2 linked regions of the Oreochromis niloticus genome follow. The protein of the gene in region 2 purifies or fractionates together with the protein of the main gene of each other region. This does not show direct contact. Links are inferred from orthologs where the notes say so. Each region holds a gene or a part of one and is shown on either strand. Other genes may lie near its edges. The genes, in order: clasrp and cfap20.

Region 1 (16,295 bases), on a different chromosome or scaffold from region 2:
CGGCCCTGAGACAATCAAGCAAACAAACATTATAAAACCTGTAAACACAACCCACACAAACACTTCCCTCAGCAGATTTAGTCTTACAGAGTACATGGCCTTCTCCGCCTCCAGAGCTTTGGCATGTTTGATGGCCTCCACTTCTTCCTTGTCTTTCCTCAACATCCTGACAAATGGGCAGCACAATCACAGCATTACAAAAAACCACAAAAATAACTATTTAAACACAAAAGCGCATCAACTTGAAGAAAAGAAACCCAATGTTCCACAGTTTAACAGCACGAGATATATGCGTTCGTGTCGGAGTCACAGCTCAGTGTACTCATTACGGTTTATGTTTTAACGTCAGATGCTCACGTTAAATATGGCCATGGTTTCAAACAATGACAAGAGTGGCTGTACGAGCAATGGCTCAGGCTTAAATTGTTCTTATTGCTCAACTTCAGAAAGTGTTTTTTTTTACCCCCGGGAGAGCAGCTAGTTTAGTTGGGCTGCACAAAAGCCAATTAAGACAATATTAAAAATGAAAAAGCTCATTTTGCACCGTGAACCATACAAAGCTACTCCACTGGAGTCCAAGAATACAAACATCTTGCTCAAAGTTAGTCTTTACTCTACAGAACGTATTTTGAAAGAGATCCTCTAAATAGTCAATTTAAAAGCAAACCAAAAAAACCCTTTTTTTTACTGTGTGTATTTTTACAGTATCTGCTGAACTTAAAACACTGCAGAAGCTTGTAATTAAAATGAATAAAACCCAAATACATCAACTTTGAGGTCAAGGATATTACAGTTAACAAAATTAAACCACAAAACAAACAAACAAACAAAAAAACAACTACATTTGAAAAAATATTTAGATAAATACTGTTTCTGAAAACAGTTTTTTGGTAAAATTTATCACAACTTCCCTAAAGATTCAGACATGTTTAATAAGACTTTGGTCTAAAACACTGAGTCAACTGAACGTTCAAAAAGTTCTCTTCTTATTATAATACCTAAAATGATTTTCCTAAATCTCACCTCTGAGATATGCCCTCCATATAATTATACTTAAAAAGACTAAAAACTTGAAAAAACTGAAAAGAAAAAAAAACTGAATTTTAAAAAAGCTACATTAACTCTACTTTGGTCAAGACACTAATTAAAATTTAAGGAACCACTGGGCGTCGTTTTTCTTCAGAAATTTGCTTTGGGTTCGACTCTGACATCATGATGTGATTAATGACATGTTACCTGACAAAGTCTCCTTCAGCCATTCCATATGGCGTTGCCATTTTGTTCAGGTCCATCACCTGCTCCTGGTTCAGCTCATCAACATCAACCTCCACATCTGAAAGTGCGCGCGCACACGCACACGCACACACACACACACCATTTTTTAACAAGTCGATTTCTTACCCAAGCATTAAACAGGAACACTGTTGATCTGAGATCAGATCGTCGGTTAACAGCATTTAAAACACGATTATCACATAACCAAGAAAAACCTGCAACCTGGCAGAAAAGAGAAAAATAAAGTTGAGCAGTGCCAGCTGAGTGGATCACTTTTATAAAGACAATCTTCTCCAGGTACAGTGTAAGATAACTAGTGTTATTTCTCAATAACTAGCGTTTTACATGCTGTTAAATAGCTTGGTTTAACTGCATTAATTTCTCATTGGGATGTGACATTTCTCCTTCGCTGAAGTCCATTTTCAGGGTTAGTCTGAAGCCACACAGATGTGTATCTGGCCATTTGAAGCCTGCACTGCATTAAATGATGTAACAAATCCAGCTCGCACAGTCAAATTGACAATTTCAGATTTTAGTCTCTTCTGAGAAACGTTCTGTGGAATAACTCTCACATATCCAAGAGACGAAAAGCTGATCAAACACATTCTCTGTGGACAGCTGTGCCTCTAAATGTTTTATTTGGTCATCTCCTGAATTTTACTTCCCTAACACATAGATTACTCCAGTGAAACATGCTCACCGATATCTGGAATGCCTTCGTCATCTTCGGATTCACTGTTTTCTGAATTGTCTTCCTCTTTGTCTGACTGGGGCTCAGGCTCTGCTACAGTGCTGTCTTCATACGTGTAACCAATGGTGGCCTTCTTCTCAGCCAGTCTGCACAACACAAGGAAAGATTTATGAAAACAACTTAAAATACTGGATTTCACAGTGGTGATAAAGAACCACTTTAAAATTTAGTTCATACTTTTTCTTCTCATCCTCATTTGGTTTGGGCAGACCACCATAGAGCTCATCCAGGTAGATCTGGTATAAACACTGCTCCTCAGAGACTGCAGGAGGACAGGAGGGATTTAAAGAGCACAACACAACTGCAAAATATACCCACTGAGAGCAGGTCAACACACTGCCATGGTCACATTAAGAATACAGGTGCAACACTATTAAGCGCATTACATAGTCATGTAGATTTTGTGTGTTAACACTCACTGTTGGCAAAGTCATTCTGTACAAGGCCTCTGTAGCGCTCATAGTTACACTTTCTCTCCTCCATCTCCTGCTCTGGAGTGCTGCATGAGACAAAGAAGATTGTTGGTCACATTAAACACCTCGCTGAATGCTCAAATCTCACCACACTGAACTGGTTTGTGTCCTGACCAAGCATGAAAGATGACTAAAAATACAATCTCACAGATGACCTGTTCAATTACTGAGCAGCAGGTGTTTTATCACAGAGTAAGAACCAGAAGTCTTACTAAAAAGCCACTCTTTGGTTATTACCACAAGTTTCAATGCACCAGCACAAGCAGTCAGTGAAGTAATCAGCATTACAACACATAAAGATCGAAACAGACAGTCGTGCTATAAACAGCATTTTTAAATTAAATTTTATTTTGTTTTTAATTCTTTAATTCTATTTAGTTTTCCATCACTTTACAGAATCACTTGGCATTCTTTAGATTAGTTTTCACTTTATGAAAATGTTTAGTTTTAGTTTAGTTTTTATCATTTTGAATGTTAGTTTTAGTCTTTTAAATTATTATAACGTAATAGGAGGGGTATTTATCAGAGAAAGTTTTAAGAGTAGCCACCCGGTCATCCCAGCAACCATCTTCAATAAAGTCTCCTCATTGGTGGTGTGTTGATAAATGAATCAGGATGTTTACAAGTTATTTAGCAGCAAGTTCTCCACAAACACGAGTCCAAGATTGGGGAGAGGTGACCATCATTTGGCATTCCGCCTGACCAGTCACAAACTGCTCTCCTTCACCCCCATGGGCGGCTATCTGCAACCAACCAAAGGCCTACAGTATCAGGGCCAGATTTGCTATCATGCTGTTGCAGCACGCATGCCTTTTGGGAGTTCCTTTCACAAGGTGTAAAATCTGTTTAAATCAAGTCCACAAGTTGATTTGTTAATGTTTTCAAACACTGTTTATTTTTGGCACTTGTTATTGAAATGGACTGACTGTGCCTGTGTTTAGAAAACAGTGAACCTGTAAAACTAACCACAGCTATGATCAGCATTTGAGGATTGTGCTCACACCTTATTTCACCCCTGTTTAGAGGTGTTCAGTCAATCCTGCAGCTGGCAGCTTCACACCACTGGCCAAAGACATACACATAATGTCAACTGCTCTCGTACTGAGCAGAATTACTGCTACAACATCACATCATCCGCAGGGAAACACTAAAACGTCTCACAACGGCCTAAAAATCAGTTCACTTTCCTATTAGCGGGTCAACAATCCAGCACTTACTGACCACAGGTTTAAAACCCAGGAAATCCGGAGGATCATGAGGACCTATTTTAATAATCTGTATTCATACTGGGAATCAAGGTCATGCAAGCTGTTGCCCTTCTGCTCCACAGGTGGTTTCTGTCCTCCCTGAGCTCACCTTAGGACACCTGCGTTACAGTTTGGACAGATGTACTGCCCTAGTCAAAGCCCCCACCTGCCACTGTCTTAGGAGCGGGTCACCAGAAGCACTAAAGCTGTGCTTGTAGAGTCAAAGTCGAATTTTAAATATGGACAATAAAACATCCATCTAGTTGCAAACTGCTTCCCAATTTAGAGAAATGGAATAAAACATAAATCTACTACTACAGACTACTGCAGCAGGTGTTTTAGCTTTATTATTATAGAAATTATAATATAAGTAATTAAACTAGCCTATTTTGCAGGTGACAAAATGACCTGTTTTGGGTTTTTTTCTTAAAACAAACAAAAAATGGGGTCACCATCTCCTTTGACGACTAAAGTCAGATCAGCTCAACCTCATACAAGAGCAAATGTTTCCACATAATTAAAAACAAACTTTGGTGTATTAAGAGTTTTTTCATGTGCTATGTGCAGAGGTGTTTTTTTTCTGCTCTCAATCTGATCTCCCCATTGGAGCTCAGTCTGGGGGGAGTTATTTTTTTCTCCTGATCTTTCCTCATGTGGTGCATTTTCCATTGTTATACCTCTCTGACCTGTCTTCCCCATGTGATGTTTTTGTGTAATGTATGTATGGTCGGAGGGTAAGATGGCGCCGCCATTGCGCGCAATAGGTCGGCAGCCTTAACAAGAAATTTCCCCTTGTGGGACTAATAAAGGTATATCAAATCAAATCAAATCAAAACAAAACAAAAAATAACAAACTGAAAACATAATCCATACCAAATTATGACTGGTTATTTTTTGAAAGCCCTCTTTGATGAACTATCTTAACTGTTGAATACATAATCTGTACAGCATATGTACAACAATATATGGTGAATGTGTGATGATCTCCTCACAACTGTCCCATGTAGAATCATACAACGAAAAAGTAAATAAATAACCAATAAAATGTTCACACAACGTGGGTTCCATGTTAAAAATGTGGCTTTAAGTACTTTCAGACTTACGATGTGGTGAGCAGAGGTGGCGTGTAGGTGGGGATGTAGTCCAGGTGAGCCCTTACATCAAACCTGTCAATCATGTTGTTGGCATCTCCTTGCCAAGGCATCCTTCAGACAACAGAAAGGAGGCAACATGTGATCATAAGCTCTGTGGTGTGGCTCATCTCTTATTATGTGTCGATTTTGTGATTTTCCTCACATGTTTGCAGGGCTCTCTGCGGCCAGTGCCACAGCTGGATCCAGGTGGATTTTGTAGGCTCGACCGTGAACTTGAAGAAACTGAGCAGGATCTTTTTTCTGTCAAAAGAAAATGAAACCGTAAGAATACAATGCATTGATTAATATCTAAAACTATGAAATGTTACACTGCACAGCACTTTAATTAAACTGAAACCAACAACCATAGAAATTAACTTCTAAAACTTGACACTTTTTTTTTGTAAACAGTAACTGGTTCATTGATGCAATGAGGATAACTGAAAGCTGTGTCAACTATATGCATATGTTTTTAAAAATACCACAAAGTTTGGACCCACATAACTGGGTATAAACTTGCTCAAATCTTTTCTTCTTTTTTAAAAATCCTGCAGTAAGAGTGTTCAGGCCAGACCTGCTCACTCCTACCCGGTGGTACACTGTGGCAATGCAACATGATAAAGTTTCTTACTATCTTCTCATAGTACTCTCGCCGGCGCTCGCCTCGCCGTTTGTAGTCTACCATCATGCCACGGAGCTTGCGCTCATGTTTGCGGGCCTCCTGCCACATGACGGCTCCGCTAGGGGTGGGGGCGCGGCGGGGCACGGCTGCTACTCAGGGCAAACAAGCAAGAATCATGGGAGACAGGGGAAAGTGAGATTAAGGGTGTTAGAGGCAAGAAAAATAAATAAATAAAAATAAATAAATAGTGGACTTTATAAACTGAGCACTTCAAGAGCTCTGAACTCCACATCATGTCACTGACATACAGACAGAAAGTATCTCTTACATATTACAGTTGATATCTCTGATCAGAACCAACTACAGAGTGCAACCAGCACATCTGCAAACACACTATCAACACTCAAGACTACTGAAAATTCCCAGTCTTAAGCTTCACACTAAACACAGGCAATGTTGTAATGCAATAGTTACCTACATTCCTTGTTAAACACTTGACAACCTAAGGCACGCAGTGACGTCTAAATTTCTAGCAAGACAACAGACATATACCGAGATTAAACGGCCATGAATGCACAAAATATTTGTAGCCTGTCTATTCATAAGTAAACTGAGGCATATTGGTCACTTCCTAAAACTGAAGTTGTGACACGTCATGTTAGACATGTGAGGGAAATTCAGTGTAACGAAACCTAAAAGGTATACGTTTGCCATTCATTTGCATCAGTGTATACACTTCCAATGCATTTCTCGGAGTGTTTGACGAAGCTCATATCCGCAGTAATGACAGGATTATATTTTTCTATAGCAGATTCCTCGTCCTCAATTTTGCTAAAACAGGGACATTAATGAAATAACACAAACAAGCAAATACAGCAAATATACTCCGATTTATATTTTTAAAAAATAAATAAAATGAATTTCACTGGAAAAAACAAACACCTAAAATGTGATTTTGGTACATCACAGAAATTACAGTAACTGTGAATCAAGGTGTCACCTCTGCATCTTCTACCACTAAACACACTTTTAATTTACAGCAGTAGCTAAACAGTCTGAAGCTAAAAAGCTAACATAGCTTTCTATCCAGTATTTACGTAGTTAATACGGTTACATTACAACGCTGTTTGTCCTCTAAAACGGTTATTTTAACCCGTCTACGCCCCACTTTCAGCGTTCAGATTCAGCCGGGTGCTAAAAAAAATCCGTGTTATCAAAGTGATGTAGGAGTTTGTTAGCATACACACGGGCCTGACTGCGCATGCAGCCCGGGCCTTTTTAATACCAGTTAGCATCACAACTAGCCTAGCTTAGCTGATCTGCAAAGACGTTGGGAACAGTGGTCAAAAAAGCAGCTACGAAACACTGAAAACTACACATACGGCCGTACAGGGTACTCAGCGCGGTCTAAATTCTCACAGTGTACCTGTTTTACTAATCGCCAACACACACACGGGTTGTTTTCAGTTGGCCAAAAGCGATGTTAGCGGAGTGGAGCGTAACCACACGCCTCCTTCGCATATATATAACAGGCTGCAGTACCGACTCTGGCCTGTGAGGGCGCTGCGGGGAGGCGTGTGTATGTAACATTAATGGGAAGATACTTTTGAAAAAAATTCTCCTTATTATAAAACACAGTAAACAATAATCGCCACTTCTACCTTCACAGCAGATAACTCAGACCAGAGTCAGAGGAGATTCTATGCAAAGCATCACAAATAAAAAAAACATTTTGACAGCTTTCTTCTTCTTCTTTTTTTTTAAATTCACAGATGGTTTTAATACAATGCTCGGTGTCCTTTTGAAAAATTATGAATAGATATGTAGATTGATTAAATTGGGCTTTTTAGATATAGTTTATACTTTGCTATGATAATTAAAAGTTTGAATAAATGTAGTTCTTTTTATTGCTGAAACTGAACAGTACCTTATGCCAACACAAAGATGAGTCTTTCCGAAAAGCCTTCCTTAAACTTAAACAGGATAATATATGTGTTTTATTTTGAAAGAAAGTTTGTGCATATTATTTACATTATCTGTTGGCTTCGTAATGAAAGTTACATAATAACTCAGTATGAAAAACGGCTCAGTGGTTTTTAAGGTTGTGCACCGTATTTGGCCACAAGATGTCCCTGTTAGACAGGAAATATGCACATTTGAAGCTATCACAGTTAAATAGAGACACTTGCAAGGAATTGGCAAACTGTGTGTGAAAACATTTGTGGTAATCCAGCTAAAAATAATTAAATTAATCTTTCTTTCTACAAAGTATTATGCCCCTGTACCAGTCTATGACTACTTTATGTGCACAAGGACATGTATCAATGCTGCTCTAGTGAGAGTCACTCAGCGTTTAAGCTCTAGTTTTTCTTGTATTTGTTGTCAAGCTCTCCTGAATCCCTGTCAGAAATACAAACCCAGGTGTCCTTGGGTCAGTGCATCAGCTGCACATGTGGATGGGCACTAAAATAAATCCTTAAAGGAGATCTCTTATATTCATTTGAACTACCACATTTTTCTGTATAAATCAACTCTTCTGGAGTTGCTGATTTTCATACATACACACACACACACACGCACACATCGCATGCATTAAAAGACCAAGGCATCCACTGCACAGCTGAACTTTACATCAGGTATCTACATTATTACCTTTCCCTGTTATGTGTATTTATTCATTGTGTGTCTGCCTGTGTTTTAAGCTGAGAGCTACCACGCAGCATTTCGTTATGTGACTGCAAAATGATAATAAAGAATCTTTAACTCCTCTTATTTATCTCATGCTGATATTTGTCACAGAGTCAGAAAGGAGCTGAAAGTGTCAGAACTGGATATGATTGTGGATTTTAAGACTGTTTTAAAAGAATGAGAGAATAAATCTTTTGGTCAGTGTGAGTGCTGTTAATGCTTTGCACGTTTGTGTTCACTTGTCTCTGAATATCAGTTGTATTTGCTCCTTTACTTGTTATATCATTTTATGCTTCCCTCTTGGACAGGTCTCTCCAGAAAAAGACATTTTAATCTCAATGAGATTTTTACCTGGATAAATAAATTATATAGAATACGTTTTATTTATAAAAATATAATTTATCTCTCCAATGTGCTGTAATCACACAGCTCCTCAGAAAAGTAACTTGGATCCATCCGTGAGGGATCAGAGTAGAGCTGCTACTCCTCTGCATGGAAAGGACCCAGCTGAGGTGGTTCGGGCACCTGACACGGATGCCTCCTGGGTGAGGTGTTGTGGGCATGTCCGACTGGGAGGAGGCCCCGAGGCAGACCCCGAACACACCAGAGAGATTATATTGCTACAGTTTAAATTACTGTAATGCTTTATTTGCTGGATTATCCAAACGATCAGGATGACTTAGCTTATTCAGAGTCCTTTCATACACAGCAAAATCTGAACATATTATCACAGTACTGAAGTCAAAACAGGATCACTTCTAAATACTTCTGTCATTTCATAAAACTGCTAAAGGTTTGAGCCCCGGGTACATTTCTCAGTGTCTATAATGCTACTAAACCTATAACTGTGCTGAGGGTGTGTGTTTGTGTGTGTCTGTTTTAACTCGTATTTTATTTCTCTGCAAAGTGTGCTTTGAAAATAAGGACAAGCATTTAACACCTTTACACTGAGGGGCAGTGACCCCTTGGCTGAATCTGAAGCTTTCTAATCTGCACGCTGGGCTTTGACATCCTGCTCAGCAGGTGCAGAAAGATGCCTGTACATATGTATGTATATATATACGTCTATGTTTGTGTGTGTAAACTCTATTCTCTACATTTCCTCATGACCAGCATGGTTACAGGAAACCATGTTCATTTCCAGCCCACTGTTGTTTGCACAGGTCAGAGGTCACATTTGTCACATCTATTTGCACATTAAATGTCTATGCTGTGACCTTGGAGCCGCTTACACTTGGCAATTTATCATATTTTAGTAACACACAGCATGCTTTACTGTAATGATCTTTTATATATATATATATATATATATTTTAAATTTTCAATAACACCAGTGCAGCGTAAAGAAACAAACAAATAAACAGATACACACGAGAGAGAAAAAAAGGCCACATATATGGGAAGAGTTCCAGAAAGGAAGGGAAAAAAAAGAATAGGTTAAATATGGCATGTCATGGGTCCAAAAAGGACTGGATCTGGAAGTACCCAAGTGTACCCCAGATTTAGACAACTGCACTTGAGTACAGTTTACAGAAAAATTGTACTGTAATGATTTAGGACAACATAGACTGTCTGATATCTGCAAAAATGGTTACAGGTAACTTCAGTAATTGTAGATCCATTAAAACCAGAAACTTTAAGTAAATATTTGCCAGTGTTTCCAGCATTTTAAATGCTATTGACCAGCAGTTTGCACAAACCCGCTGCTCTTGAAACTTACTGTTATTATTATTCCTTTTTTTTTTGCAGCCACACATTTGTTTTTTAGGAAAGCTGGGGTCAGTCAGGTGGTCTCCCATATTTTCCTGGCACCGTCAGCATCATTGTTTGTCAACGAGTGTCAGGGAAAGAAAAGGAAGATAGTGAAAGTCACTGTGTATATGGTGACTTACTGACCTAGTCATTGTGCCTGTGCTCCAACATGAAATATCCTCTCATGGGACTCTGTCAGTGATTTATGAACAGAAAGCTTGGTTGTGACATCTGAAAAATGCATACAGGGAGACAAGGAACTAGAAGAACTGATAACTCTTAAACAAATGTAAGTAATTTAAGACTAATGTTGCTATTCCAAAGCTTAAAAATAAGCTTGGATGCTTTTTGTTACATATACGGTTATGGTCAAAAGTATCTCTGTATCTTCAAAGGACTGTGCATTCATGATATATTGTTGCTTTGGCCGTATTAACAAATGGAGCAGATCTACATATTATTAGAAAGTGGTATTAGAGGAGACACAATCCTTTTTGGGTTGTGTCAGGGAGGGCTTCTGGTGCAAAATATCAACTAAATCAAACAGACAGTGACCACTGGTGAATAACAGAACAACTGAAAATAGCTTTTTATTCAAGGATTTAGAAACTCTTTAGTGGGTAGTAGTGATTATTGAGTACAAATGAGAGTCCTGAGAAGACTGGGGAGTTATTATCGACTAGAGCAGCTTTACATTATTCACAGTCCTAAATAATTTATCTTGTCATCTTTAGCTCCTCCCCCTTTATACCAGCTTTCATCTGATTAGCTGCCCCTCAGAAACAGAAGAGCTGAACAGCAGTTGACCATGTTAGAGTTATCTGCTCTTCCTCTCATTATTCAGACCTAAGGAAAAACTGTCTGGAAGGGAGGGTTTAGAGCTGTCTGAAGCCTAAGCTTTCGGCTCACAGGGATTATTTTGGACAACTAAACCCTGGAGTTTAATAAAAGGTATAAAATCGAGTTGGTAAATGCACTTTTATTACATTCCACATGTGCTTGCTGCTCCAAATGGAAAGTATAAAGGGAAAAACAGGGGACAGTAATACAGTGATACTTCCAGAATGAATCACAGTACAAAAAGGGCATCAATATGTACAATACTATTTATGTACAAAAACAACTATGTTACACACAAGTATGATAAAAACCATACATCTCGGGCAAACTGCAGTATTACAGAGACAAAACAGGCATCAGTGTATACTCTTAAAAATGTTCTCAGGAGGCTTGCAAGCCTTTGGTTCAGGAGGATGCACTTTCACTCTAAGCAGAGTGAAATGTTTCCCCTCTCACAAAAACTAATTATATCCAGTCTTTCGTTCACTCTCACACACACTTACACACAGCCAGACACAAACAAAAAATGTTAAATAGGCATCTGTTCACTGATCCTTTCTGTCAGAGTTCAGTGGAGGTTTGGACAACAGTCAGATGGCAACACCGAACAGGAAATGTATCGGGACTCAAATGGAGGAAGATCCTCTGTTTACTCTTGACAGTTTCACAGGCACTCAAAGGCAAGTCTGTAAGTCTTTAGGTTTTCAGTTTACTGTTGAGTCTTTCAGCTCAACTTTATGCCTGTGCTGCTTTTTCATGGCCATTAAGAAGGCCCAAAGACGATGGCGACGACGCTCTTTCGACCCCTCTGCTTAGCAGCCTTTGTTCCTCTGGTGTCTGCGCACAGCCATCTTTGTTTATAAAGGTCAGAGGGTCACCTTTAATTTTCATATCTGCAACATCGACACAGTGCAAGTAACTGGAGACGGGGTCCTGTGAGCAAAAGAGTGCTAAGGACGCAAAGTAAATTTAAAAAACAGCTCCTCAGGGCTTTAAAAGGTCAGCATGGGGTCAGACCTCCAGCTCTTGGTTATCTGCATAGTGGAGGCGGTTCAACTTCTCCCTCTCTTGGTTTGAAATGTCCAGTTTGGCAGCATGTGCTGGCTTTAGTGCTGGGGAAGGGTGTGAGGGGGCCGGGGAGGGCGGCAGGGTCAGTTCAATCTCCTCGTAGCAACGTGAGACGGGGGCGGGAGCTGGAGGGTTTGTGAGAGGGGCGGCAGCGGGCAGCTGGGGCACCGGACGGTCCACGTTTCTGATGAGGTTGACAAACTCCCTCTGGTTGTTGATGCCTTCTTCCTGCGGGACAGCCTGCTGCTTTTTCCGCTTCCGATGGAGGTGGGACAGGATGAAGGCGCAGGCGGCACAGCCACAGACCGTCACCAGAGCTAAGACTCCCACCAGGATCATGTAGAAGCTCAGGCCCCCGTGTGCTGAGTCAGACATGGCGCCTTCGGGTGTTGAGACGTGAAAGATCAGACCAGGGTTCATCAAGATTTTATACGTTTAAAGATGCACAAGTATTTCTCTCACCTTGACAGTGGTGACCAATGCAGGGATTTTTGAGGCTCATGCACTCGTCACCATAGTAACCGTCAGGACAGATGCACGTGTTCCTGCCATCTATGATGTGACACTGCACGCCTTGCTGACAGGGGTTGGGATTGCACAAGTCCAACACGACCTGAAATATTGGAAAAAACAAAACAATAAGACAGTTAAGGGAGACATCCACTTCTCTCTAACCTCCAGTGAAATTTCTGATGTTTCTGATTGGATCTTTAAAAGATCTCTTCTTACTTCACTTTCAATGCTAAAACTCAAATGTTTATTTATAGCCAATGAATTTTTTTTAAGTTTTAGCATTTTTAAACTTTTTGGTGTAAAATTTCCTCCTAATAGTATGAGTTCTCCCGTAGCTCAGCAGGGATTGAAAAACAAAAATAAACAAACAAAAATGAATTTGAAAGTTGAAAGACTAAAGACACCGGATATATAAACCTGAATATTTTAGATTTGTTATTTTACCTAATTATTTGAGATTTTCAAGGATCACATTAAAGTTAACAAATGTAGGCATTAAACTAGCAATCTGGAGCCAAGAGGTTTTTATAATATTATAAAAAAAAAAAAAAGTTTATTTACTGTTTGGCTTTTCTTAAAAAGTTTTAGTTTTACTTCTGTGGACTTTTTAATGTACTTCACTTCTGATAGGGCTAAAATGCTAGAATCATGTTTATTCCTGGTATAAATAGTAACATCTGATGTGCTGTCTATAGTTTTCAATCCACTTTTTTATTCTGTATTTTATTTTTAATTATAAGCTTGTTCTACCTTTGTTCATGATATCATCACATGTTTTATTTATACTCAGGTCCGTGTCCATGTATTACTTAAAAAAATGATTTTCTGCTTTTGTTTTGTAAAATATCTCCATTCATAAGAAAAAGAAAAAGAAACAACATTGAGTTCTATGCAACATAAATGTTGGCCAATCAGAAGGCTACAGGCGATAAAACCACACAGTCTGATGTCAAAACAGAGATAAAAGCAGATAACTTTCTAAATCTAAATCTTTATTTCAGTTGTTGTATGTGTGGACATAAGACTAAAATCCATAGACTAAAGATACGTTTACCAGAATACCAGCGTATGTGTGGACAGCGCCTCGCCCCAACCAAATGAACTTGAGATTAGCTGCATAATACATTTGTTACTGTGCTTTTCATTTACCTTAGCAGCACATTCAACACTGTAAATATTCAGGTTTCTCTTTCTGGAACAGGTTTAAATTCATATTTTACCATTGTGTAACATGAACTTCTGATAAAGACTAAATTTCTAAAATCCCCATTTTTTAAATCTATCATATCGATTTTTCTTTCAATCTTTTTTGGATTACTCTTTTGAAATATGTTGTTATATGATGTTATGCGCGCTCTCTGTGCGACCACACATCTATTATCTTCCTCTGATCTTCTGCTTTCACCTCTGATTTGTTTCTCACTCTGATTGGCTGCAGAAGGCTCACTGGCATGCATATACAGCTAGAAAAGGTGGAGCACGGAGGTTGCTGGTTGGCATCTCAGTACCTCGTCTCCTGATCCTCGTCAGCAGCACTGGTGATGTCGTTCTGCTGCTTTTGATTATGGCTTGAGTTTGGAGTTACGGGCAGTCGTGTTTTCGAGTTTGGTTCTGTTATTTTAGGTTATTAATATTAGTTTAGGGGAAAATGGAATCTGATGGCTCCTTGTATGGTTGTTTCATGATCTTCTTCCTCTTTTGTTTATTTTTGCCAGGTTTTCCATTTTCCTCATTCATGTTTATTCTTTGTAAGTAATCATATTTACATTATTAAAAGTATATTGAATGGCAGCAGTTTTCTGGGCCAGATTATGTTAGGTTCCCTTGAGTCTTTGATTCAGAGACTGTAACATCTAATATTACCTTGTATGCCTGTTTCATCTTTTTTACTAGAAATTATCTTCACACATTAGTTAAACTAAAAAAAATACCCATTTAGTTTTAATTATTAAAAAAATAAATTAAATTACGTTCTCCGACCTCACAGAAGTTTCCAGAATATCCAGTGGGACAGTTGCAGGTGACTGTTCTTTCATCCTTCTCCTCACACTGCCCTCCGTGCAGGCAGGGGGCGCTATCACACAGACGTTGATGATTTTGGCAGTGTTTTCCAGAGAATCCAGGTGGACACACACATCTGGATCCTGACACCTGATCCTGTATGGGTCAGAATATACAGTTGTGGTCAGATATTTACAGGCACTCATCACTGGCATGACTGTCATGGTAAATTTGTGCTTTTAATGACTTCTTTGAACTGTTCTTTTTCCAGGCTGGAATGATTGTACAGCATCTATCTTTAATGACTTTAAAAACAGGAATTGGGTTTGAATTTAATTTTGGGTTTTCTCTGATACACTCATGCTCAACTATATGCACACAGCCCCATTAATATTTGGTTAATTTCACTTAGCAAATTGTACCTTAACCAGATCCTTTTGGTAATCATCAACAATTTGACCATCATTTCATCTAAACTGGTTGGTCTCCTGGCACAGACCTGGGGTTTAGGAATGGGAAGGCCATTCCAGGAGCTTAATGTCAGCCTGCTTTATCCAGTCCAAAACCAATTTTGATGCGTGTTTGGCATAATTGTCCTGTTGGTAGACCCAACTGTGTCCAACTTTCAACCATCTAGCTGTTGATCTGAGGCGAAGTTAAAGAATTCACAGGTAGTTCTTCCTCTTCATTATTTCATCCACTTTGTCCAACATACCAGTACCACTTGCAGCAGAAGAGCCCCAAAGCATGATGCTACCACCGCCATTCTTCACAGCTGGTAGAGTGTTCTTAGATTTAAAAGACTTCACACCTCAAGAACCTATCTTCTGGGATTGTGGCCAGTCACACGGTTCAACCTTTATCTGACCATAAAACTTTTTAAAAGAAAGCATTTGGTTTGTGTTGATTTTGGAGCAGGGGCTTATTTCTTGGTTGGCACCCTCTTAGTCCATGGTAATGTAAAACTCACTTCACAATGGACTCCTTAGAGCTTCACTAACTTCCGTGGACATTCCCATTGTCACGAGTATTTGTCAATCCAGTGAGTGCTTTTTCTTTTTATAGTTGTAGTTAATCATGATCAGTAACAGAAGTTAACAAACCTTAACTTTCAGTACCACTTATTAAAATATTTAATAGAGTGTATGTATACATCTTAGCTCTTGTGGATCAGAGAAAGTGCAAAATAAATTCAAACTGTTGTACAATCATTGAACCCAGGAAAAGAACAGTTCAAAAAAACCTTAAAAGCCCCAAATTACCATGACAGTCATGCCCATGATGAGTGTATCTAAGCATCTGACCACAACTGTGTGTAATTTATATGTGTGACACGAAGACATGAAGTGTGGGAAAAGAGCACTGGGGAGGGTTACAGAGGATCTGCGACAGGCAGAATAATATTTAAGAAAACACTGAAGTTAACTTACAGCACAACAGCTTCAAAACCTTTTACTGAATAATGTCTGGCATACAGGGGTGCCCCCAGAATTTTTTCATAGGGGTGGCCATTTGGGGGGCACTTAAAATATTGGGGTGGAACATGGTGTGGTGGGGTGGTCCCCCTCTCCCCTTTGTGGCTCCCCTGCTGATGGGCTTAAAAGCTCATATTGAATATTTTATCCTATATCAATATTTTGTTTGAAATACTGAAAAATGATTAAGATAATGTGAATGCTGGGTAGTGAAAAACTTAAGAGGAGAACAACGAAGCAGGTGCAGAGACTGTAGGCAAATTAGACAGACAGAGGGAGGCAGGACAGCCAGGAGTCTTACCTCACAACGTCCACCATTCAAACACAAACCCTGACAGCTGCTGTTCCCTGCGGGGAAATGAGGAACGCCACATTAATTTCTCACACAAACACAGAATATCTATGATATCTATGAATCTGTAAACAAACATGTTCAAACTGAAGACAGAAGAGACTA
Region 2 (16,045 bases):
GCGCTGGATGATTTGCAGTATTTGTTGAGTCAATTTTTTTTTTTTTTTTTTTTTTTTTTTAAATTTGGATATTGTCAGAACATGACACTACTGCCAGTGTGGATAACATACCATAAATTGATGTAGGAAGATGTTCTTATTTTATCAGTCTTCAGAGATAAGTGACAGCCTTTTGTTTAAAAATGGTTGCATTCTTTCCTTTTTGATCATAATTCAGGGAAAAACTGTCCTGGAGCACCAGTTATAGAACTGAGTGTTGGCATTCCTCACTGAATACTAAGTGCCTGCTGTAAAAAGGAGAAAATGCTTGCATTTAAAATGAAGAAAAATGCTGTTAGTTTTGATGCCAAATACTTGTGATATAATCCAAAATGTAGGAAAGGTAGTACTTTAATCTATGTAGCAAGTGGGCTTCTTTGTATGATGTGGTGATTTGTGCGGGAGCCTAAGATTAACTGCACTAAGCTCAAACTGAAATATTTTACCAAATCTCAGTTTTGAAGCTATAGTCTTTGTTTTCCTGAAAACACAAAAGTATAGCATCATTCTGATCACTTTATTAGTATTTCATTGCACAAATGACACTTTTTTAAGCTTTTTGTCTGACCCACTTTCATCTGCAAATGTGACCCAGTTCTGAATTTTGTCAGACGTGAGATACCGTTACTGTTTGACACCAGAGTTAACATCTGAGTTTTTTGTTTGTTTTTTTTCCTCCCCTAAAAACATTTTTCTACATTTACAAACCATGTATCTAAATAACACGAGCTTGCTAAAGAAAAACAGAAAATGCGTATTTCAGTACAATCGATAGCAAGAGGTGTCCAAAGCAGTCCAGAGGTGTTTCTTCAATATTAGTTTTTTGTTTTGTTTGTTTGTTTGTTTGTTTGTTTGATGCAATATGTAAAAATGAATATATTGCTAGTTTTGCTCATGTGTACAGAAATCCAAACTGAAGAAAAATATTATCTTGGAAATGCAGCTGTCACTGAAAATATTTGTGGTGTTTGATTTTTAAAAAAAAAAAAAAAAAAAAATCATTTATATCTGATGAATGGACTTGTCTGTTTTTCATTAACTCTTTCCCCCATTTGGTGACCTCCCCTGAGTCTTGACACCACAGTATATATCAATAAAGATGTGGTTTGTTGGCTATTTGAATAGCTTCCAGGTTTTTCTAAGAGTAACTACATAGGCAAAGACCACCCTCACAAACTTCTGATGCAAACCCATTTTGTTCTATAAGCAGGCCTGAAATATGGCAGAAATGAAAAGGGCTTCTAAGCCAACTTCTAGTAGGCTTTCAGGTGGTAAAGAGTTAAACAAGTAGTGTGCCTTTTTAGGTTTTTGACAAATAAGAGGATTATCCTAAATCCTGTACTTAATGTTATAGCGCATCAAAAGCAGTTATGGTAATCATTCTTTATAAACTACTAAAAGCAAGCAGCATTATTAGCAGAGACCCCGTGATGATGTCTTTTGATCCATCCATCCATTCTATCTACTCAAAACTGAGGACACATTAGTACCTAAAACACTTTATTGTATAGAAAGCAACTCTGGTTTTTTTCCAACACTGGGATGGAAATTTTCCTAATTTGTCTATACTAATTACATTTTGGACCAAATCGCCTCATCACATTGACCTTGCTGACAGAGAAGCTCTACTCCTGCAAGAAATAAATGGACAACTGTTAGACTAATACACATTTTGACTGAGAGGTGCCATGAATACATCACGTGACTGTAATACCTTATTAGCATTTACGTGTGTGGAGGGGCGTACTTTTTTTTTTTTTTTTTTGGAAGCTTTATCACATTTTAGACATACAGTTAAGTAAAACAGGGATCATATAAAAGATGACATTGAAGTATTACAATGAGGAGCAATGAAAGTGACGGGGACAATGAGATAAAAGTGAGTACTAAAATAAATTAAGGAGAACATAAAAGTTTGGAAGAGCCAAAATCAAGTTAGCAGTTTCAAATGGTTACAGATGTTAACAGTCTTGAGAGCCTTAGTGTTTTTTGATGAGGAGATTGTCCTTATATATTGTGCGAGTTCCATTTTTAATACAAGAAGTTCAGGTTTTCTGCCGAGGACTTTGCTTTTGTGTATGTGAAATTTTGCCAAAAATAAAACCATATTTATAAAGAAGAAAGCATCATTGTCCTTGTTTTTAAAATTATAATAGCCAAAGATAACATCCTTGTAGTATAGTTGCAAATTAGGGAGAACAGAGTCAGTAATAAACTTGTGGAAGTCCTTCCAGAATTTACATGTAAATTTACATGACCAAAACAAATGAGTAACAATTTACATTTATTTCAGCCATAAATTTGGACAAATATTGTTTGGTGGGGTAAAACTTATGAATTAATTTGAACGAAATCTCTTTAACTTTGTTCGTTAAAAGAAACCTTTGTGGTAAAGTCCAAACTTTTTTCCATTCAATATCTGTTACAAAATTGGCCCAATAAAATATGGCTGATGGAGGGACGTACTAACCATGGACTTCTGGTTCTGAACATGCAGGTAGAGTTTAAACTCAGCTGGAAGCTCATGCTCAGAGTACAGTCTGTTGGAAAATACACCCTCTACACCCGCTGCTTAACTTTTTGTCCCATATTTGAAGAGGTTTGCTGCCGATGCTGTATAAGAGACAAAACACGCACTGGGAGGTGTTTTTAAACATCCTTGAGCTCACTCCACAGACATTAAGCACGACTTTGAGACCCTGCAAGCAGCGTTCGCTGGTTGCTATTACACGTGAGTCGTTTGTTTACGGGTTTTCTTTTCCCTTATACTAGTTCCGGGTGAAAAAAAACCCGTCTCGCTGAAGATGCTTAATTTAAATAAAAATCTGAGGAAATAATTATTGTGTGAATCTTTCTCAAAAAAAAAAAAAAAAATCTTCATTCTATTTTGTGTAGCCAGGGAATGGAACCGATCCATAAACACAACTCGGTTGTGGTGGTAACAGAAAACCTGAAGATTTTTTTTTTCCCAAAAAACTTTATTACAACCTGGTAATAAACAGCACAAGTAATAAATACACCTGAATAAAACACAGAAGAAACAAAATGAAGCAGATCAAGCAGAAAAAGCCTGCCTAAAACAAACAGGCTAGAGCTTGATAATGTTAACATAAAGGCTTTTATCTAAACACACATTCTGTTTTTATAGATATTTATTTTGTAAAGAAACCACTGGTAGGCATTTATTTAATACAAAATCTAAAATTATAATTATTAATATTGTAAATTAACAGGTGTTTTTATGGGATTGGGCTAGAAGTAGTTAGCCTAATCAAAATAAATGTCACAATCATCACAGCATCTAAACATATTTCTATAATAGAGAGCCAAATCTGAGAAACCTTTTAGCAAATATAAAACTACTGACATGTAAAATAACAGGATTAAAATCAGATAGAAGCAAGTGTCAGGATCTTATTTGTTTAAAGGACCAGAGGTAAAGATCATATTTTGTTCCTGTCAAGTGTTACAGCTTTAATAGCAACAACGATTTATTGAAACTAAGTCTTTCTGCTGATATTCATACCTCTAGTACAAGAAAAAAATAAAGGGATTCTGCATTGTGTCAGAAGGAAATATAGACAAGGGCATAAGGTGGTTAACATTCATAAATACTATTTAGGATGCACAGGATGGTGGCAAACTGAAAAAACCCCCCAGAATAATGGACATGGTGGACTTTTAAAAAATACCTGTAGCCAGAGGACTTAACATCATTTAGCCTGAGTGATTTAAATAAATCAACAAACCATGGAATTTAATTGTATTTATGGGCAAATTTTAATTTTGAACAGTAAATCTCTTTCTTTTTGGTAAAGACTTACAAAATAAGCAGTGGGCCTGTAAGCTGTTTGCAGTTAACATTGTATGAGCCAGAAGTTCCACCGCAACTGACAACACACAGACAACTACTGCGTGTATTTGCAATGTGGACCATTTTATTAAAACTGTGCAGAGACTCACGAAAAAGTCAAAACTAAATGAACACTGAATGTCTATAATGCTGTCACAACTAAAACTCCAAATCACATCGGGGGGGGGGGGGCTGCACACCGCAAGAAGCTCTACTGCTGCAAGACACAAACAGACAAGTGTTAGACTTCTACACAACATTTTTACAGACTGAGAGCTGAAATGGTAACTTTTTGACTGTAATACTGTATTAGCGTTCACGTATATGGAGAGATGTACTCACCTTGGCCTTCTGATTCTGGACAGGCAGGTAGAGTTTAAACTCAGCTGGAAGCTCATCCTCAGAGTACAGTCTGTCGGAGAAATACACCCTCCTTATCCGACAGTTAGCATGAATCTGAGGGGGGAAACAGAGCAGATGTTAAAAAGAGAAAAAGGATTATTGTGTCAAATTGTTACTATAGAGAAACAGGAAAGACTCAGAGGTTCCTCATGTGTGCACTAACCTGTACACGTAGCGTCTCTGTGTAATTGGTTCCATAAGCCCTCCTGGTGAAGTCGGACAGGTTGAACTGAATCTGGTTCCAGCCGTCATCGAGCCTCATGGGCATGGTGCAGATGAAGGGCTTCACCCTCGTCGTGCTCTGATAATTACTCGCTCGAAACCGCCGGCGAACATTTTTATCATCCAGAACCTGAGAGGGAGATATGAGACACACGTAGCACCAGGTCTATGGTAGATTCCCAGACTGTATGTTAGCCAATCACAGAGCATTTAAATGTCTCTACCTGGACCTCAAAGGTGAAGTATTTCTTGAGGTTTTTAATGATCATCACCAAAAAGGGGAGTTTGATCCCCAGGGTCTTCTTGGGGTCTGCGGGGCATGTTATGTAGGTGGTGCTGTAGGGAGGACAGAGTTGATGAAGCTAGGATGGGCGAGACTTAAATACCGGATTTATCTCAGTTATTTAACAAGACAAAAATATTAAAGAAAGTAAATCTAATTACTATGCCTGGGATCTACATGATACATTAATGTACACATACTTCAAACAGAACACAAAGACATATTATACACAAAGTGAAGACAATCAATGTACACAAGAGCTTGAAAAAAAGAATATCCTGTTAAATATGCCAGGACTGCAATAGTGTATATAATTATATAATAATGTATATTATTATAATTTTCACTTTATATCCTGTGCATTTGATTAATAAATAAACAGACAAACTCACCTGACATTTGTTCCCTCAATCTCCAGCACATTTGAATGTATGTCATTGTCCGAGACTCTCTTTATGTGACCGTTTCTCACCTGTGAAAACCCAGAAATAGATTTGTTCCCTTATTTTCAATGGAGAAATTAGGACGTTTCCCAGAGCCAGAGTGCTGTATGGCGTACCAACTGTAAAACCCCCTGAATCAGATGTGGGATATCTAAACAAAACTAATGAATGAAGAAGGCATGTCTCATATCTAAAGTCAGATTTGTCAACCAGGGATTGTGACTGCCCAATCCGCAAAGCACTGAACCTATTACTTGCTTTTCAAGCTTTGAGTTTTTCTATCCAACTGTCGCCAAGTCCTTGCACATAGGGGGTCATCTCACTGTTGGAGTTTTCTCTGTATTACTGTAGGTATCTTACATTATAATATAAAGCATCTCGAGTCAACTGTTGTCGTGATTTGGTGCTATATAAAATTGAATTGAAATGAATTACAGAGGTTTGGAGACAACACTGGGTGGTGCTGCCCGACCTCCGGGTTAGAGATCAGTTGTTGCTTCAGAGGAGTTCAAGTATCTCTGGATCTTGCTTATGGGCAAGGAGAGACGGGAGTAGGAGACTGACAGATGGAGTGGTGTGGCGTGTGCAATGATGCAGACCGTGAAGAGAGAGCTTAGCATTAACGGAAACTGTCAATTTAGCAGTCGCTCAAAAGAATAGAATCGTGGATACAAGTAGCAAAAATATTCCCTCAGAGATAGGGTGAGGAGCTCAGACACGCTGGAGAGATTATGTCTCTTGGGTGAGCTTAGGAACGCCACCGTGTACCCCCGGACAAGGTGATGGGAAATGCGAAGTCTGAGTCTATCTACTTAGAGCGCTTTCTTGCAACCTGGACTTGGGTACGCGGCAGAAAATTAATGAATGGATGGATATCTCATATCTCAGATCATTTGTCACCACTGCATAGATGGCCTTGCAGAGAGGACTGCAAAGCTCATACTTGAATATCTGACCAGCAACAGCTCCTGTTTAGCACATTAGCCTGTAAAACCGTGTAAATGGCACCAATGACTCAATCAAGCGACTGTAACTTCAATTACTGATGTGTGACTAGGTTAGCAACTTAGCAGCACTGCCTCCGTGGCTACCCTGTATCATGTTGCTTTTACAAGTAATCAACAAGAACTGCGGGTAGTGAATTTAAAGTGGATCTAGAAAACGTTCACAGCCATAAAACAGTGCGAAGTTTAACATCCTAAGAGGGGGGTGAGTGCACATGATGCTAGCCAGTTTTAGCCCCGCTCGCTAAGCCAACATTTAGCTCCCTGCTTCCGTTCTGAGCCGCTGCTTACCTTTTTGTCCCATATCTGGAGAGGTTTGCTGCCGATACTATATAAAATAGACAAAAAACCGCTCTGGAATGTGTTCTTAAACATTTTCCTTGGGCTCAGCAGACGGTCAATGTGCACGTAGTGTAACCGTTTGTTTACAGGTTTAATTTCCGCCTCCAACTTTTCTGGTTCCGTGTGCTAGAATATAAACCGTTCCGCTAACAGAAACTACCACGTTGTCACTCAGAATAAAAAAGAGAAATCGGTTTCACTGAGTGGTCGAATATTCCCACACGGCGTCAATCAGAAAGAAGGCAGCGGATGTCTCGTTTTTATTTTGGTGTTGCTGGGGAACGAAAATCATCTGACGTTGTTCATGCCGGTTAATAAATGCTGACGCTTCTCGGTCGCCGTGGTAACAGTGTAAGCGTAAAACACAAGTGTTTAACATAATATCGTCTAGAAGTCGCCGAAATAACCAAAGCACCTTTCACGTTTGATGATTCTTGTTTCAGTTACTGAATGCATGATATAATAAAAACTCCCTAATCATAAACTAATTCAAAATGATATCTTGAGCTGCCCGATTCTCACCGCCTGCAGCCAGATCCATATGCGCGTCTCCAAAGAATTTTAGGACTTTAGGACCTTTAAAAGTACAGGTGCACTTCTCTTTAGTTTGGAGAGGGGAGCTTTCACACATAGCTTCAGTAACTAAACAGGGCTGCACAGCTCTGATCCTCCATTACAGGTGTCAGGATATTATCTGTACAGTTCCTGTAGAGGGATGATGCAGCATTACACAGCATTATAAACAAGGCACCCTAGATCTGCTGGAGTTTTCTATGGTCTGTAGAGGTGGGAGGATCCATCCAAATATTGATAGTATCAATACCAACTAAATATTGGCATCAGAATGACACTAGCACAATGGGATTGATACTTTGCTTTAATCATCTTAAGTTCAGTATGTAGCCCACCTAATTATGAAAGTATACCTCTATGCACTATGAAAAATGTATGAACCTTTTTGTCATGTCTTTCTCTTAAATCTGTTTTATTTATAGCCTGTAGCACATTGAAACAACAGAAGTTGACCCAAAGTGCTTTAATGACAGGTTCCAGGTCTAAGACCCCCCCCCAAAACCCCTGTTTCAAAATACACGAAAAGTTGAAAGGTGAATTTTGCTGTTTTAACTCATCACTCATCACGTCATTAAAATGTGTTCAGGAATTGCAAATTCAAAGTGATTTATCTCATAAATCGCGACACACTGCGCTCTCCTAAATAAACTGGCTTTATGGGTTGAAATCAGCAATACTGACCTTGTATTTACTTGGTATCGCATCTATTCCTAAATTTGCTGTGTCACACAGCAATAATGGTCTGAAACCCTGAGTTTTCTTATGAAGGGCTCAAAATTGCAATTCTGATGCTTTTTTTGCAAGGTTTTTTTGGGAAGTTGTGGATATGTTGTGAGTATAGGTCAGGGGTCTGCAACCTTTTACACCCAAAGAGCCATTTGGACCCGGTTTCCACGCAAAAGAAAACACTGGGAGCCGCAAATACTTTTTGACATCTAAAATGAAGATAACACTGTATATATTGTTTTCTTATCTTTATGCTTTGTGTGAATGGTAAATGGTAAATGGACTGGTTCTTATATAGCGCTTTTCTACTCATCTGAGCACTCAAAGCGCTTTACACAACTTGTGCATTCACCCATTCACACCCATTCGCACAAACACATCTTTCTAAGTGCTTCATAGCTAACATTCACACACATTCATACTCCGACGGATGCATCGGAGAGCAATTTGGGGTTAGTATCTTGCCCAAGGATATTTGGCATATAGACTAGGGGAAGCCAGGAATCGAACCACCAACCTTCCGATCAGTGGATGACCTGCTCTACCACCTGAGCAACTAAGGTGTGCTGCTTATGAAATCCATGAAGTGCTACAGAGAAAATTAAATTATATTTATGTAATCAACACATTTTGAACTCTTAAAGAAATATAACAAAAGGAAAGACACCCAGCTGAACTAAAATGATCCATGTAGCAAACAAAAACTGTTGTGAGCCGCCACCCTTATATCGCCTTTGCGCTGTTGGAGCCTTGACCTGACTCTTAAAAAATAATTGGAAAAAAGCACTATGCTGCTGAAAATGAAAAATAGATATTTGCAAAATTCTGCCTAAATATGTATTTTACCTGGTTAATGCGTGCGGCGGGACGTGGTTTGCAGCGCCGCTGCAGGGGAGGCGGACGCACCTGAGCGACACCCGCAATCACGCCTCGCTGCCTTTACGTCTGCGTTATCTATGCTGTTGTGTTGTTGGTGGTGTATGTCGGACTGTGAGCTGAAAAGCTACAGCCGGCTGTATGCGTACAGCAACCGTGTGTGAAAAGTGGTCAATAAAGAGGTTCTCAAAAGCATGCTCATGGAAACATCGTCGGGTCTGCCGTGATTTGTTTACAATGGGACTTCTGCTCCTGAACCTCTGCGCACAGAGTCCGCAAATCGGGGCTATACGAAGTCAGTTTACGCAGGACTGTCATCTGTCAGGCGTGAACGGTGTTTGTCTTTAACATAGTTCACGGTGGAGAACAGCTGCTGACATAATGTGGATCCGAAGATCCATAATTGGCCTACCTGGGGTTGAAAGTCTCGATAAATGCACGGCGTTTCGGCGGGTATACCGGCTTCCGCGAGTGTGACTCTTATTTTGAGCGATGAAAAAATAATAGAATATAATTTTATTTTTACATTTCAATATCACAATAATCTTCCAACTTAGAACTACGAGTTAAAAAGAACTAACATAAATAAAATACACTTCAGCTAAATACTTCTAATGTATTTGCCCAAACCACACGGAGCCGCAGTATAAGGACTAAAGAGCCGCATGCGGCTCCGGAGCCGCAGGTTGCCGACCCCTGGTATAGGTAAAGGTAAGGATTATTCCTAAGGAGGGAAATGTATTATTGTAGGAAGAAGCTAATGGGCACTTTCTTTTCTTTTCTTTCTGAATGTTTTTTTCTTTGGCTCATCAGAATTTACTCAGGTATAGTACAAGTCACAGTGACCCAGATGCTTAATAATATTATCTGAGGTCTTACCTGTCCATAGAGACCAAGATTATTCATGTTGATCTGATAATAGTGAAGCTACTCTTTATTTATTTCGGGTATTTCCTTACACTGACAGAAAAGTGGGTCGACATTGAAGTTGACATCAAGGCGAACATCATACTTAAGGATTTAATGACTTTCTAAACTTAATACTGAAGTAATGATTCTAAATGATGTCTTAACTATCATTGAGTCCTGCAGTGGGTATCAGGACATTATCAATCCATAATTTAACATATCATTGAACCATGACACTGCCCTTGAATCCTACCTTAAAGAGCATTCATCTGGCAGCCATATCCTCTGCTTTTTCTGCTTAGACTAATACATTAGCCTCGCTGACCTGAAAAGGCAGATAGAGTCTAGTCCAGCCCCCATCCTATCTTATTTAACTCCAGCTTCTAGAAAATGAAATCAACCTCAACTGTTAATTTCTAATCTTGTCCATCCTGGTCAACCCCAATAAAAATCTTAACATCTTCAACTCTGCCACCTCCACCTTGGCCTCTTCTGCCACTGTCTCCAAACCATACATTAAAGCAGGTCTCATTACAACCATATAAACCTTCCTTTTCACTGCTGTCGCCATCCTTCAGTTACAAAACACCCCTGAATCTTATTTTCAGCCTGCCTGCACTCTCTTCTTCACTTCTCTCATGCACTGTCTGTTGGCTCTCTACCACCTGCTAAAATCTGTAACAGGGCTATTTCAGTCTGAACAGAAGACCTACTGAAAGCTAAAAAAAAATCCCTCTCAGCCTAACAAAATATGTTTGTTTTACGCATGAGGTTTTAGCTCCTCTCTGCTTGTTAAATGCCTGCAGACTTGCCCTTGTCTGCAAGCCAAGATAATTCCTCTGACATTTCCAATTTTGCTGAAATTACACAGCATACTTTACAGCACCTATGTGCTGAAACTCCGTTTAAGTTGTAAAACTGCTGGAGTGCCCCTTAATTCCCTAATACATCCACCCCAAACGTTTCTAGAAATAGATTTCCTATGCACAACTTAATTTAAGCACTCTTTCCACCCTCTAAATTCCGCCGAAGTGTCAAGCGCGACATCCTTCCTCCGTCTCCAACACTTTAAACATCTGGCAAAGATTTCAAATATTTAAACAAGCCAAGAAACATTCAATCAAACATTAACCAGGCACTTTGTATAATGACATCACCAACGGCGCAGCATAAATCAAAAGCCTCCTTTTGGCTTTTTTCACAGGTATTACTGCCGCAGGACTTTATTTGACATTTTGATGTTAGCCACACACAACCGCAAACATATTCAATGGGACAGATGTTACAGCTGTTTATCCTCCTGTGAGTTTATTAGGTGACGCTTCTTTGTGGTGAAAGAAATGTAAAGTGATCCCTTCTCTACTCTTTATCTATCTTTCATTATGAAGGTGTCCTCTCCCATTTTTATAAGTGTGTGTTGGTTCACGGGTTCACAGGCTGGCAGCTTCATAAAAACATCTACAGAAACAGTTTATGCTGCGTTGTCTGCTTTATACTTTTATTTTGCTCTTCACTTCTCTAATTGAATCATGTATTTACACAGAGACAAACGTATATTTTTTCTCTCTAACGCTGTCCGAGTGGGACCACCCTGGAGACAGCTTTAAATAAACGATTTTGAAATCACACTTGAATGAAACTGCCTTTTGTTTTTGTCCCACAGAGACAGGGCAGTCTTCCCTCCAGCTCTTTCTAATTTTTCCTCTTCCTTTTAGCCTGCCAGCCACTTACTCTTTTCTTGTTATTCCCAATCCAACTGTTATCCATCAGCGTACATGTTCCTCTTCTGCTTTTCGACACCTTGGACGCTCAAGCCTTGTCTTTGCATTGCCTTTCCAAATCCCTGTTTCAGATGAAATATATTAGAAGATGTCCTATTTGACAAGAGGCCGAGAAAGAAAAGAAGCTCAAACTAAAGAGGTGGAAAATGAGACAAAGCAGAAACTGTAAGGTGGGAGAAGACGGGGAATGAGAAGAAAGAAAATGACAGAGTTATTTGATACATTTTTGATACATCTTCATTACATTTTGTGTTATATGGGATATGAAAGAAATGAGTTAAAGAGGAGGTCCGCCTGTTGAACTCTACTTTCCATTGGAGGACTCTCTCCGCCCCAGAGCTTCACATCTGACTCTCTGGGCCTATTCTTTCCTTACCTTTTAGCAAATTACTGAAAGACCAAAGGATGTACGAAATGAAGAGGAGATAAAAGTATGAAATTAAAAGCAACTGAGGATCTCTTTATTTATATCATCGGACAACAAGGACTTTTGCACAAGTCTACTGCATGAGGATTTCTTTTCCACACTTTTTCTCTTCTCCAGGTACGTTTAATCCATTCAGTCATCATTATTTGATTCTGATTTTCTTTTTGTTTTTTCTGGTTGTGTTTTTTTCATTTTCTGAGCAGCAGTTTTAAGGTTCTTTGTGTACATTTGTCCTCCTGGAGATATCCACATCATTTTCACCCTACAGTACTTTCCCTCTGGTACATGCATGTTACAGGTTTTTTTCATTGGAAATTGTACACAAAAAGGAGTTTTCATTCTTTTAAGAGTGCAAAATGTAAAGTTTAAAAAGCTTGAATTTAACTCGTGAGGGTTTAGCTCAAAGGAAGACCTGATAGATTTAGATATGATTTTATATGATCTAGTCATTTCATTTAAAAGTGAACCTATGAAGCAAATGCACGTCTGCATCTGTAAAGTCTGCAGGTGCTGGGCGGCAGTGATTAACACAATGTTAAAAAACATTTGCAGGCTTCAGAGTCATTCACTGGTTTATCTTTAATATAATAATTTTATCACATATTTTACCATAACCATAAAGTTTCAAAGAAGATAGCTGCTTGGAGAGTTTTTTCCTTTTTTAAAATCCAGGCTGACAGCCATGTTTTATCTAACTGTCTTATGATGATGAAGAGTGGAAAGACCTCTCTCAGCGGCACATGTTATCCAATGGGAGCTCATCCGTCTCTGGTTTTTATAAGGAAAGACACTTTTGGCCAAAATGAGAGGATCTGCTGAGTAAAATATGGCATTATTTAAGACATTTATCTTTTATAAAATTACTTTTTTTAAAGTAAAGGAGGACATTTTTAATGTATGTTTTTTCTGATGTCGAATAGTCAGGAGTAAATAAACATTTTTTGTGAGATTTAATTTGGGGCTTTTAGAAACGCATTAACAGGGACAGAAAGTGTGAGGGAGAAGATGAAAGATGGGCAGACTCAAATCCAGGCTGCTTCTTAAAGGACTTGAGTTGCTTGTATGTGATGTGCAAGCTCTGCCAGGGGAGCTCCACAGATTTGCTGAAAGAAAAAAAAAATCATTTTAGCTCCCATGATACATCAGATGAAACAAGCTGAAACTAACTTTTAAGCCAACTTGGCTAAAGGTCCTGTAAGGGCTCTGGATGAACTCAGAACAACTACAGAGATTGTACAACAACAAGTTTATTTCCATAGAAAATGAGTGTGATAAGTTTCAAAGCTCTGGGAAAAGTTAGTACATTCAAGTTAAGGGTGAAACAGTTTTGGCCAACTAATGAATAGCTTGTTTGGCCAGTTCTTCTTAAGCAGAACATAACAAATTCACTAATGTCGTAACGCCTTATTTATCACACTGTTTTATCTGTTCCCGCCTGCCTTTGAAATATCAACACTATTTTTGGCCAGTCTTTTAACTTCTTTAAGCCCCTTGAAAGTGAACACAGTCCAGCCGTTTTTTAAACAGGACATGTTGCACTGATCACGTTTATCTGGTTAAGACAACCGTCTACATCATGTTCAACACAACACATGTCAGTGGTGTGTTAAATAGCCGCGCACGCTGGCAGGGTTCATCTTAATGCTGTGCTCCGTCTTTGAAGTAACACACACGGTCGTGTACTTAACTTTGTTGAGAGTGTCACATCCTTTTAGGGAGGAGATGAAGATGGATACAGTTGCCTCTACGATACAAGAGCACATTGTTTATAGGATCGGGATTTCCAAAGTCTCTCTGTCTGGATTCATTTCTGCTGATGTTGGCCATGGTTTCATCCCTAGAAGTCACAGCTATCTCCTTTAGTTTTTAGTGTGCGTATGTGTGTGTCTTTGTGTGTGTGTGAGTTTGGAGAACTAAGCTGTTTGAAACTATTTACCATACAGTATCCAAGGCTGAGTCCAGGATAAAAGGTTAGGGCATCTGTCTTTAAATTACTGCCGGGAGGCTGTAATGAAGACGCCCTGATATTACTGAACAATCTGAGGGAAAAAAAAAGGTTAAAAAAAAAGTAGATAGAATGAGTCTGGATATAATCCTAAAAAGCTTTTACCCTTTAGAAAAGAAAAGAATCTGAAAGATTTGTTTTCCTCACTACATTAACAAAGTAATAAATGATTAAAAATGCCTTAAGTGCTACAGTATTTTTTAAGGTATCCATCAAGAAATAGTACTTTACTTCTGCAACTGCCTTAATTCTTTGTGGCATGGATTTAGCAAGGTACTAAAAACATTATTCACAGGTTTTGGTCCACATTGACATGATAGCATCACACGGTTGCTGCAGATTTGTCAGCTGCACATCATTGTGAATCTCCTGTTCCACCACATCTCAAAGGCGGTCTATTGGATTGAGATCCAGTAATTGTGGGGGACACCTGAGTACAGTGAACTCACTGTCATGTTCAAGAAACCAGTTTGAAATGATTTGACCTTTGTGGCCTGGTTTGTTATCCTGCTAGAAGTAGCCATCAGACAATGTGTACTCTGTGGTCATAATTGGACATGGTCAGCAACAATAAACTATGATCTTTGAGTACTAAGGGGCCAAAAGTGTGCCAGGAAAATTTGTTCCACACCATTACATCATCACCACTACCACCTTTGATACAAAGCAGGAAGGATGGATCCATTCTTTCATGTTGTTTACACCAATTTCTGACCTTACCAGCAGAAACTGAGACTAATCAGACCAGACAGCATTGTACAATTTTGGTGAGAGGAGTAGCAATCATTATGGACTTCTGCTGCTGTAGTCAATCTGTTTCAAGCTTCAGCATGTTATGCATCCAAAAAAGCTCTTCTGTATGCCTTGACTTGTTCTTTTTGAGTATTTTTGAGATACTGTCTTCCTATCAGCCCAAAGTAGTCTGGTCAGTTTCCTCTGGCCTCTGACATCAGCAAGACATTATCCTTTTTAGAACTGCCACTCACTGGATATTTTCTCGTCTTTTGGATCATTCTAAATGGTTGCATGGGAAAATCCCAGTAGATCAGCAGTTTCTGGAATACTCAGACTACTTCATCTGGCACCAATAGTCATACCACGTCCAGTCATTCAAATCACTTTTCTTCCCTATTCTGATGCTCAGCTTCACCTGAACAGGTTGTCCAAATGCAGAGAGTTGCTGCCACGTGATTAGCTGATTAAATATATTAATGTTGATGAACGGCTGAGCAGCTGTGCCTAATGAAATGTCCAGGTGACCGTATTTCTCTTTATTTAGTCCACTTGCTTCATTATTATTGTGGGTTTTTTAACTGAAAATAACAACAAGCAGTTGTTTTATTCATCAGCTATACATTAACAGTCTGGTAACACAATCCCAGTTCCAATAACTAGCTTTCTGAAGGATTTTGCATTGTTACCATGGAAATAATACGTTGAAAGTGTGAAAGCAGATGTTATGCTGGACTTCCAGTTGAGATTACTACTATAGTAAAGGAATTATTCCTCTAAAGTTGACATAACATAATATAGACATTGTAATTTGTTTTTATTTGTATTTATTGATTTAAGTAAAACATTGTAAATCTTTTTTTTCTTTTTTTTTTCTTTTACTTTACTTCACTCCCTGATTCTCACCAGCCTACCTGTCATTCATCTTTTCCAACCAATGGAGAGCCTTCTCACCAACATCAGCTCCAACTCCACTGCTGAGCCTCTCCTGTCACTTTTCAACTCACACCAAACTAACTGCAACACCTGGGACCAGGAATGGGGGACCGCATACCTGCACAGGTTAGCCCACCTGGACATGCAGCTGTATCAAGATTTCTACACCGTCTGGGTTTTTCTGATGGTAAGATCAAATGCTGAATAAATCTTATGTTACACTCCAGTATTTGCTATTTCTGTGCAGTTACTTAAGTTGTTTTTACACTTGTTTAGGGTAAGCAGATAAAAGCAAGGACCCCGCCTAAAAAATTAAATAGATTAAGACTCAATAATAGCATAAAATCCTGCACACAGCACCTGTGCACTTCAGAATATCCCAGACTGAGAAGACACTAAGCCTTTAAATATGTAAGTAGCTGTGCATGACCAATAAACTAAGGGTCCATCCCTCCCTGCTGCAGGTGTTTAACTGTCTGATGCTGGTGGTTG

Evidence for each region.
Region 1: the proteins of cfap20 (region 2) and clasrp purify together in Homo sapiens (affinity purification with mass spectrometry; 3 studies listed by BioGRID and IntAct, counting the BioPlex papers as one, with this or other methods). This does not show direct contact. The link is inferred for Oreochromis niloticus from reciprocal best matches to the Homo sapiens genes CFAP20 and CLASRP.

Annotation. Positions count from the first base shown.
Region 1 is NC_031979.2:23,405,692-23,421,986, reverse strand, and holds the start of clasrp (CLK4-associating serine/arginine rich protein), read right to left. Parts: upstream 7,081-16,295; 5' UTR 6,928-7,080; intron 5,651-6,927; 5' UTR 5,610-5,650; coding exon 5,511-5,609; intron 5,141-5,510; coding exon 5,043-5,140; intron 4,952-5,042; coding exon 4,850-4,951; intron 2,526-4,849; coding exon 2,446-2,525; intron 2,289-2,445; coding exon 2,204-2,288; intron 2,113-2,203; coding exon 1,976-2,112; intron 1,334-1,975; coding exon 1,237-1,333; intron 167-1,236; coding exon 88-166; intron 6-87; coding exon 1-5. Other genes in the region: protein jagged-1b, read right to left, coding at 11,793-12,229, 12,312-12,462, 14,343-14,519, 16,140-16,186. UniProt on the Homo sapiens protein: Probably functions as an alternative splicing regulator. May regulate the mRNA splicing of genes such as CLK1. May act by regulating members of the CLK kinase family.
Region 2 is NC_031985.2:18,317,641-18,333,685, forward strand, and holds cfap20 (cilia- and flagella-associated protein 20), read right to left. Parts: upstream 6,894-16,045; 5' UTR 6,622-6,893; coding exon 6,538-6,621; intron 5,272-6,537; coding exon 5,192-5,271; intron 4,853-5,191; coding exon 4,741-4,852; intron 4,647-4,740; coding exon 4,458-4,646; intron 4,349-4,457; coding exon 4,235-4,348; intron 4,110-4,234; coding exon 4,104-4,109; 3' UTR 2,997-4,103; downstream 1-2,996. Other genes in the region: G-protein coupled receptor 20, read left to right, coding at 15,555-15,740, 16,018-16,045. UniProt on the Homo sapiens protein: Cilium- and flagellum-specific protein that plays a role in axonemal structure organization and motility. Microtubule inner protein (MIP) part of the dynein-decorated doublet microtubules (DMTs) in cilia axoneme, which is required for motile cilia beating.